2 linked regions of the Ovis aries genome follow. The protein of the gene in region 1 interacts with the protein of each later gene in a pairwise test. Links are inferred from orthologs where the notes say so. Each region holds a gene or a part of one and is shown in the gene's direction. Other genes may lie near its edges.

Evidence for each region. The genes of interacting proteins can lie anywhere in the genome.
Region 2: the proteins of TROAP (region 1) and DYRK1B interact in binary tests that used the Homo sapiens proteins (3 or more experiments, as listed by UniProt). The link is inferred for Ovis aries from reciprocal best matches to the Homo sapiens genes TROAP and DYRK1B.

The regions. Positions count from the first base shown.
Region 1 is NC_056056.1:136,911,909-136,916,174, reverse strand, and holds the start of TROAP (tastin), read left to right. Parts: upstream 1-1,354; 5' UTR 1,355-1,555; coding exon 1,556-1,613; intron 1,614-1,692; coding exon 1,693-1,847; intron 1,848-1,939; coding exon 1,940-2,126; intron 2,127-2,804; coding exon 2,805-2,962; intron 2,963-3,051; coding exon 3,052-3,189; intron 3,190-3,381; coding exon 3,382-3,464; intron 3,465-3,942; coding exon 3,943-3,995; intron 3,996-4,266. UniProt on the Homo sapiens protein: Could be involved with bystin and trophinin in a cell adhesion molecule complex that mediates an initial attachment of the blastocyst to uterine epithelial cells at the time of the embryo implantation.
Region 2 is NC_056067.1:48,786,330-48,789,972, reverse strand, and holds part of DYRK1B (dual specificity tyrosine-phosphorylation-regulated kinase 1B), read left to right. Parts: intron 1-4; coding exon 5-193; intron 194-558; coding exon 559-706; intron 707-1,594; coding exon 1,595-1,881; intron 1,882-2,564; coding exon 2,565-2,711; intron 2,712-2,797; coding exon 2,798-2,938; intron 2,939-3,227; coding exon 3,228-3,543; intron 3,544-3,643.

The DNA.
Region 1 (4,266 bases):
TGGCTAATTGACTGTTTGAGCACATGAGCACATAGCACGTGAATCATGGGGTTATTGGGATTGTATTTTCTTTAGTTTACGTAAGTCTCAAGGAATTTGGGTGATGGGTTCAGATACGTACACATGGGGTATAAAAGATTTTCACAAATGCTGGTCGGTGTCCTTGGCTAAGAGGAGACTCTGCCTTGGGCCCGCCGGTGTAATTAACGGCACTCCACTATCTGCATTGTCCTTCTGAGTGAGTTTGTTTCCTGGAACACGTGGCTACAACAATGTGGAACAAATGTGTAAGGATCTTGTCTTTTTTTTCCTCTTGCATTGTTTCAAAAACAGTAACAGACTGGAGTCAGGCTGTTGTTGTTTAGTCACTAAGTCCTATGCGACTCTTAGTGACCCAAAGGACTGTAGCCCACGAGCCTCCTCTGTCCATGGAATTATCCAGGCAGGAATATTGCAGTAGGTTGCCATTTCCTTCTCCACGGTGTAAGGTAGCCCAGCAGTTGGGTCCATTGTCTTTCATGAATTGTACTGTGGCCTCCTTTCTGTAGTATAAGAAAAAAGGAGAGAGAGAGAGAACTACAAGGGGGGCTCTGCAAAGACTGCTGTAAAGGTGAGCACTAAACACAGGATGTGATTAGCATTGAGTTAGAATGTAACTAACAGAAGCTACAGGTACACAATGTAGCTCATTTAGAGTTTAAAGGAGATACATATAGAATGTAGCTTACATATCAAGTTAGCCTTGATTACCGACTACAGATCCGGAAGTTAGAGTAAAAAAAAAAAGAACTCAGAAAAGGACAAGAGAAAAAGGAAAACTTTTTTCTCTTTTTCACTGTAACCTTTCATTTTTGTTATTGTTAGTTCAATTTTCTCCAGACCTCTCCGCCCGTTTGGAGGCAGCTCCTCGACCCAGGCAGACTTTTCCCACAAAGCGTCTGGACAGGGTCCCCAAAACTTGACGGCCTAACTCTGATCAGAGCTGAGTCAGGGGCTGGGGCCAGCCTCCAACACCGTCAGCTTGCCTCACTCAGGACGCAAGCCCTTCCACAAGGCCGACTGGACCTTCCCGCACCAGTCCCGAGACCTCGCGAGAGTTCGCCAGCGCCCGTTGTTGCCCAGACTCAGAGCAGACGCCTTCCTGGACCTCAGAACTGTCTCCTCTTTCCTCTTCCACCCCGCGCTCGGCTTTCCGATTGGCTGGTTGAGTCGGGTCATTTTTTTTTCCTGGCCAGAAAGCGGCTCGGCAACTAGTCCTTCTTTTGGCCCCGCCTCCGAAGCCTGTAGATTGGATAGCTGAATCCTGCGTCACGCGCCTCCGCGGGAGCGCAGACGAGCCAATCAGGAGCTTGGCGTATTTTACAAACTGGGGAAGTACCTGGAGCAGAGGCCGAGAGAGTCCCGGGAAAAAGCGAAGAAAGTGGGCGAGACCCTGAGGGGTTCAGGGGGAGGTGCGGCACGGAGATCTTGGAGGGAATGAGGGCTGCCGGGGCTCGTAGGGAAGAGAGGCAGTTCGGGGTCCCGGGACGAAAGTGTAGGCTCATAGTGTCAGGAGATGACCGAGAAGCGCCCTTGTAGGCGGCGGGTCTTCTGGCGCGTGGATTTGGGCGGAGGTAGGAGTATCTGGAATGTCAGGACCGAAACCTCGAACTGGCTGACCTTTGATCCCTGATCCTTTTTTCTCCTTTTCAGGAGTAGTCGTCATGACCACCCTCCAAGCCACGAAGGATCCTCTCCTCCGGGGTGTATCTCCCACTCCTAGCAAGATTCCCATTCGCTCTCAGAGACGCCCACCTCTCCCCACAGTCAAACCCAGCGCCCTGGACCAGGAGAACCAAGATCCAAAGGTAAGAGGAGCCTGGGGGAGTGAAGACAGTAGCTACAAGGAAGCAGCAATGCACCTCAACGCTGAGCTCAGCTTTTTTCTCCCCTATCCTAGAGATTGGGGCAGAAGCTCAATATTCAGCGCCCCCTCGCAGACTCAGCAGGCCCCAGGCTGAAAGCCACACGTCAGACAGAGCAATCTGAGAAATTGCTGGGGAGCACTCAGCTCCGGAACCCCTTGGAGGAGCTCAGGCCTAGCCATGGGGATCAAAATGTGGGCCCTAGGCCACCTCCCCAGACAGGTATCTATTGGAGGCTGTAGAACTGGGTGGGAGAATGGGTTGGTGCAGTGGGGTTTGGGGGCTTTGTAATCCTGCCTCTCCTGCTTACTATAATTCCTAGTCCCTGCTCCTAGAAAGCTCTTTGCTGTTAGAGGCCCTTTCTTTTCTTCAGCAATGTGTCATCACTTCTAAAGCCTTTTCTGGCTCCTCTAGTCACTATCAATTGCTCTTTGTTCTAATGATTTGCTGAACTTTATTTACTTGTTTGTTTATTCATTCATTTATCCATTAATTAATGCATTCATTTATTAGATGCAATTTATGGGATCTTGGTTTCTGGACCAAGGATTGAACCTGGGCCAAGGCAGTGAAAGCACCAAGTCCTAATCAGTGTACCGCCCGGGAATTCCCTGCACTTCTTTTATAATATGTCCATACTTTGACTTGAATCTGTTACCTTGCTCTAGTTTGATGTTAGCTTCCTGAGGATGGGGGCTTTGTCGTATTCATCTCTGGGTGGCAGTGTCTAGAATAGTGTCTTATGCAGATTAAAGTCCTGTGAATGTTTGTTGAGCTGAGTTCAGTTATATGAGTCTCTTTGGCTCATGCACCTCAAGGTGACAATGCTAGGCTCCCCAACCCCTCAGCCTCCCCTCCTTCCTGTCCCTCCTCGCCTTTCCTTTTCTTCTTCCCTTGCAGAGGCTCCAGGGACCGTAGAGTTTGTGGCTGACCCTGCAGCCCTGGCCACCATCCTGTCAGGTGAGGGGGTGAAGAGCTGTCGCCTGGGGCGCCAGCCCAGTCTGGCTCAGAGAGTACTTGTTCGAGGGAGCCAGGGAGGCACCATCCGGAGGGGTCAGGTAATGAGCCGGGATAGGAGGAGATCAGGCTGGGGTAGGCTGAGGAGGGAATCCTGAGTCTGTACTGAGAGTCTTTTTTGGGGTCCCAGGATGCCCGGGCCTCTGCATATTTGGCCCCCAGAACCCCTACCCATCGACTGGACCCTGTCAGGGCTTCCTGCTTCTCAAGGCTGGAGGGACCAGGGCCTAGAGGTCGGACCTTGTGTCCCCAGAGGTTGCAGGCTCTGGTGAGTGTTCTTGAGGGGCTGATACTAGGTGCTCCTGGGGACTCCTTCTAAGGACACAGCTGGGCCTTGGGATGGAGGGTACCGCCTGGTAAGCAGAGGGGTTGTATGGAGGCTGATGGGGTTGGTGGTGAAACCTGAAGGTTTGGAGCCTGCTTCTGACTCTCCTTTTTCTCTTGCTCCTGTGTGGCTCAGATTCCACCTTCAGGATCATCCTCTCACCCCTCCGCTCCTCCCTGTTTCCAGGAACTAAGAAGAGAGACCAGTGGCAGCAGCAAGTAAGGAGGGGGTCATTTGGAAAAGAGTGCTTCAGTGTCTGTACAGGGGTCCCTCAGGGCTGGGCCCTCTGGTAGCTTTAGGACTTCCCACCAGCCTGGGGGCGGGGAGAGGGGAAAATCTGTGAATGCCCAGGGTGAACCCTTGCAGTAAAGTTCAGCCTCAATATGGCATCAGTTTCTTCAGGTTGTGAGGGATGGAAGGGGAAAGAAATGAGAGGTACCATCCCTTGTGTAGTGGCTCGAGCTTAGATTGTGGGAACAAATGGGGTTTGGGTTTGATTCCTGACTCTCAGCACTTACAAGTTGTTCAAGCTTGCCGTACCTGCCAAGCTTTAGTTTCTTTAGTCTGTCAAATGAGGACAATGTTTGTATCATCATTTGAAGTTGTTGTGAGAATTAGATGTTTGTAAAGCACTTTGCATGGTGCCCAGCTCATATGTGGTGCTCAGTGACTGCTTGCCACTGTCCTTGTCCTCAGGACTTCAGTGAGCCAGCCCTCAGGATCCCTTCCGGAGACCTCTGTGGAGCCTGGTGAGTGTGTCTGGCCATGGAGAGAGAACGTTAGCTGGGAGCCTGCTTGTAGGGAGCAAACCGAGAGAAAGCTCGGGAGGGCTGTGGCAGGAAGGCCAGATCAGGAGGAGGAAGAGACCTTCTTCATAGGCCAGAGGTTTGCCCGGTTGCACTTGTGTCAGAGGAGGTAGTCCCCGTTTGTATCCTCTCTCTGCCACTTCCTGCAAGATTTACTTTTGACTCACTGTCCTATCGTCAGCCCTTCAGAGCCATTACCACACCCCTAGCCCAC
Region 2 (3,643 bases), on another chromosome or scaffold:
GCAGGTGTACTATGCGAAGAAGAAGCGGCGGGCCCAGCAGGCGCCACCTCAGGACTCGAGCACCAAGAAGGAGAAAAAGGTCCTGAACCACGGTTATGACGATGACAACCACGACTACATCGTGCGCAGCGGCGAGCGCTGGCTGGAGCGCTATGAGATTGACTCGCTCATTGGCAAAGGCTCCTTTGGCCAGGTGCGGGATGCCCCTCACCCGACCCTGATCTAGGGGTTGGGAGGTACGGGCGCCCCCTGGTATTGACCCACACAGCCAGTGGGTTCGGTGGCTTCGAGCTCCGTGCTGGGCCTTGTCCCAGCGCAGTCAGTTGATTACTTGTGCCTCAGTTTCCTTTTCTATAAAATAGTGCAAACAACAGGACTCCCCACATAAGGCTGTGTCCCATGTTTACACTAGTGTCTGACTGTGGGTGACTCCAGTTTTGAATGAGTAGTATTACAGATGGCGATACCGGTGGGTGTCCTTGCTGGAGAGAGGGGTAGTCCTTGGCTCTGTTCCCTGTGCCCCCATTCCCTCACTTTGTGACCGGCCGGTGATCACAGGTGGTGAAGGCCTATGACCATCAGACCCAGGAGCTGGTGGCCATTAAGATCATCAAGAACAAAAAAGCCTTCCTGAACCAGGCCCAGATTGAGCTGCGGCTGCTGGAGCTGATGAACCAGCACGACACAGAGATGAAGTACTACATAGGTGAGGCCTGGGGCAGGGCTGCTCGGGATGGGCCCCCCCCCCCCCCACCTCGGTTCGGCCAGGGGCTGGGGTCTTCAGGGCAGGCTTGCCACTTTCACAGTATCCTGTTCACATGAGAATGCTGGTCAGTTTATTGACCAGCTCCCTAAGGGGTCAGGTGCTATTGTAAGAACTTTACACACATTATTAACTGTTGAACCGTCATCACAGATTACCCACAGTCTGGAAATGAAAAAACAGAGGCAGTCAGGTGCCATCACTTGCAGCAGGTCACGACGTTTGCACTCAGCAGTGCTATCACTTGACCAGGCAGTGACCTCCAGAGCCTTTACTCTGTGAGCACCTTTGTCCTCTTTGCTGTACTGATTCCTCTTAGAAAAATCAAGTAGATTGAAGGAGTGTGTTTCTTTTAAAGGGAAGATACACATCTTTACGGTAAATGGACAGCGATTTCCCCTTGTCACAAAAATAAACAGAACTGAGACTAAAAAGTGTTGTAAAATGAAATGAAGTGTAGGACGGTGTTAAAAACCCATCAGCACCAAATAGAAACTTTATCTTTGGTTTAATCACAAAGTCTGACAGATTTGTAAAGAGGTTAACTTCCTGTAAATGAAATTGTGGACATAGGAAAACGTTCTCATTAATAGAGAATCCCATGGTCGGAGGAGCCTGGTGGGCTATAGTCCACAGGGTCGCAAAGAGTGGGACACGACTGAAGCGACTTAGCACGCATGCACCCCGCACGCAGAGCACACTCCAGTTTGGTCTATGCTCGAGAAGCAGACACAGATCCAATGCCAGCCTCTCTCTGTGACTGTGGGCCGCTGGCCCTCGCAGAGCCTCAGTTTCTTCTTGCTCGGCCCGTTCCCGCCCCCTTCCCGGCAGTGCACCTGAAGCGGCACTTCATGTTCCGGAACCACCTGTGCCTGGTGTTCGAGCTGCTCTCCTACAACCTGTACGACCTCCTGCGCAACACGCACTTCCGCGGCGTCTCCCTCAACCTGACGCGGAAGCTGGCGCAGCAGCTCTGCACGGCGCTGCTCTTCCTGGCCACGCCCGAGCTCAGCATCATTCACTGCGACCTCAAGCCCGAGAACATCCTGCTCTGCAACCCCAAGCGCAGCGCCATCAAGATCGTGGACTTCGGCAGCTCCTGCCAGCTCGGCCAGCGGGTGCGGCCCGGCCCCGGGGGCAGGGCTCGGTTTGGGTGTGGCTCGGCTGTGGGCGGGGCCGACTGGCGGCCTGGGTCCGCGGGGCGAGGCCAGGCGGGGATAGCCTTGTCACGTGCAGCCTGATACCTGAGCTACGGTGCTTGGGATGGGGCCAAGAGGGAGGGCCACCGGGTTTACTGCCCAAAGGAGAAGGGAGAGCGGAGCCTGAGGGAACAGGGCCAGTTTTGAGACTGCCAGATTGGAGAGGGGGTGGGGCAGAGGGGTAGTTGGGTGGCTGTGAGCCTGAAAGGCTGTGGCGCTTTGCAAAGTTTTGCTTACCCTGTGCTCTTAAAGCTGGGGATGGAAGGGGCGAGGCTCTTCAACTTTGCTGCTAAGATGATGCTGGTAGTGGCTTGAAAAGGGTCTAGTTTGGGAGGGTGGGAAGGGCCTAGGTTTGCCGGCTGCCAGCCCGTGGTGACTTAGAGGGGCTCAGGACCAGACTAGGCCAGCAGAGAGCCCTGAAGCCGATGAGTACGATAGTGGTGGTGATTCCAGGAAGCTGGTGCTGATAACATGAGGGTTTGGCGCCCCCTGTCCCAAGTGTTGGGGGCAGGAGGCTTGACCTCAGTCGGCCCTCCTAACTTTGGGGCTGTTCTCATAGCAGAGGCTGGGACCTCTGATGGTTGCCCTCTCCCCTCCTCCAGATCTACCAGTACATCCAGAGCCGTTTCTACCGTTCGCCCGAGGTGCTCCTGGGCACTCCCTACGACCTGGCCATTGACATGTGGTCCCTGGGCTGCATCCTGGTGGAGATGCACACTGGAGAGCCCCTCTTCAGTGGCTCCAATGAGGTGTGCTCCCGAGGAGGGGGTGTGCTCCCGAGGAGGGGGAGGAGGCCCGGCCGGCCCAGTGACCCTGACGGCCCGCCTGCTCTCAGGTGGACCAGATGAACCGGATCGTGGAGGTGCTGGGCATCCCGCCAGCCCCCATGCTGGACCAGGCGCCCAAGGCTCGAAAGTACTTTGAGCGGCTGCCTGGGGGCGGCTGGACCCTACGAAGGACAAAGGAACTCAGGAAGGTGCGGCCCCTGCCCCCATGCCGCTCCTCCTACCCCGGCGGCCCCTCACTCTCTCACACTTGGGGCTCCCTCCTCCGTCTCCCCGCTTCCTCTCCCTGTGTCTTTCCCTGTCTGTCCTTTCCTTCCTCCCCCGCCCACCCCCTCTCGCCTCCTACCCACCGCACAGCTCTTCTTAGCTTCTCTCTTTCCACTTTCTCTCTCGTGCCTCTGTTTCCCCGTGTGTGTCTCCCTGCCCCTCCTGCCCACTGACGGCCACTCTCTTGCCCCCCCTCCCACCTCCCCCTGCCAGGATTACCAGGGCCCCGGGACACGGCGGCTGCAGGAGGTGCTGGGCGTGCAGACGGGCGGGCCCGGGGGCCGGCGGGCGGGGGAGCCGGGCCACAGCCCCGCCGACTACCTCCGCTTCCAGGACCTGGTGCTGCGCATGCTGGAGTATGAGCCCGCCGCCCGCATCAGCCCGCTGGGGGCGCTGCAGCACGGCTTTTTCCGCCGCAGGGCTGATGAGGCCACCAACACGGGCCCGGCGGGCAGCAGTGCCTCCACCTCGCCCGCACCCCTCGACACCTGCCCCTCCTCCAGCACCGCCAGCTCCATCTCCAGCTCCGGTGGGTGCTCAGTGCCGGACGAGGGGTCGGGTAGCTCTGATCGGGCCGTGTGGGGCGTGGGGGTGGGGGTGGGGAATAGCTTTGTCACTGGCCCTTGGCC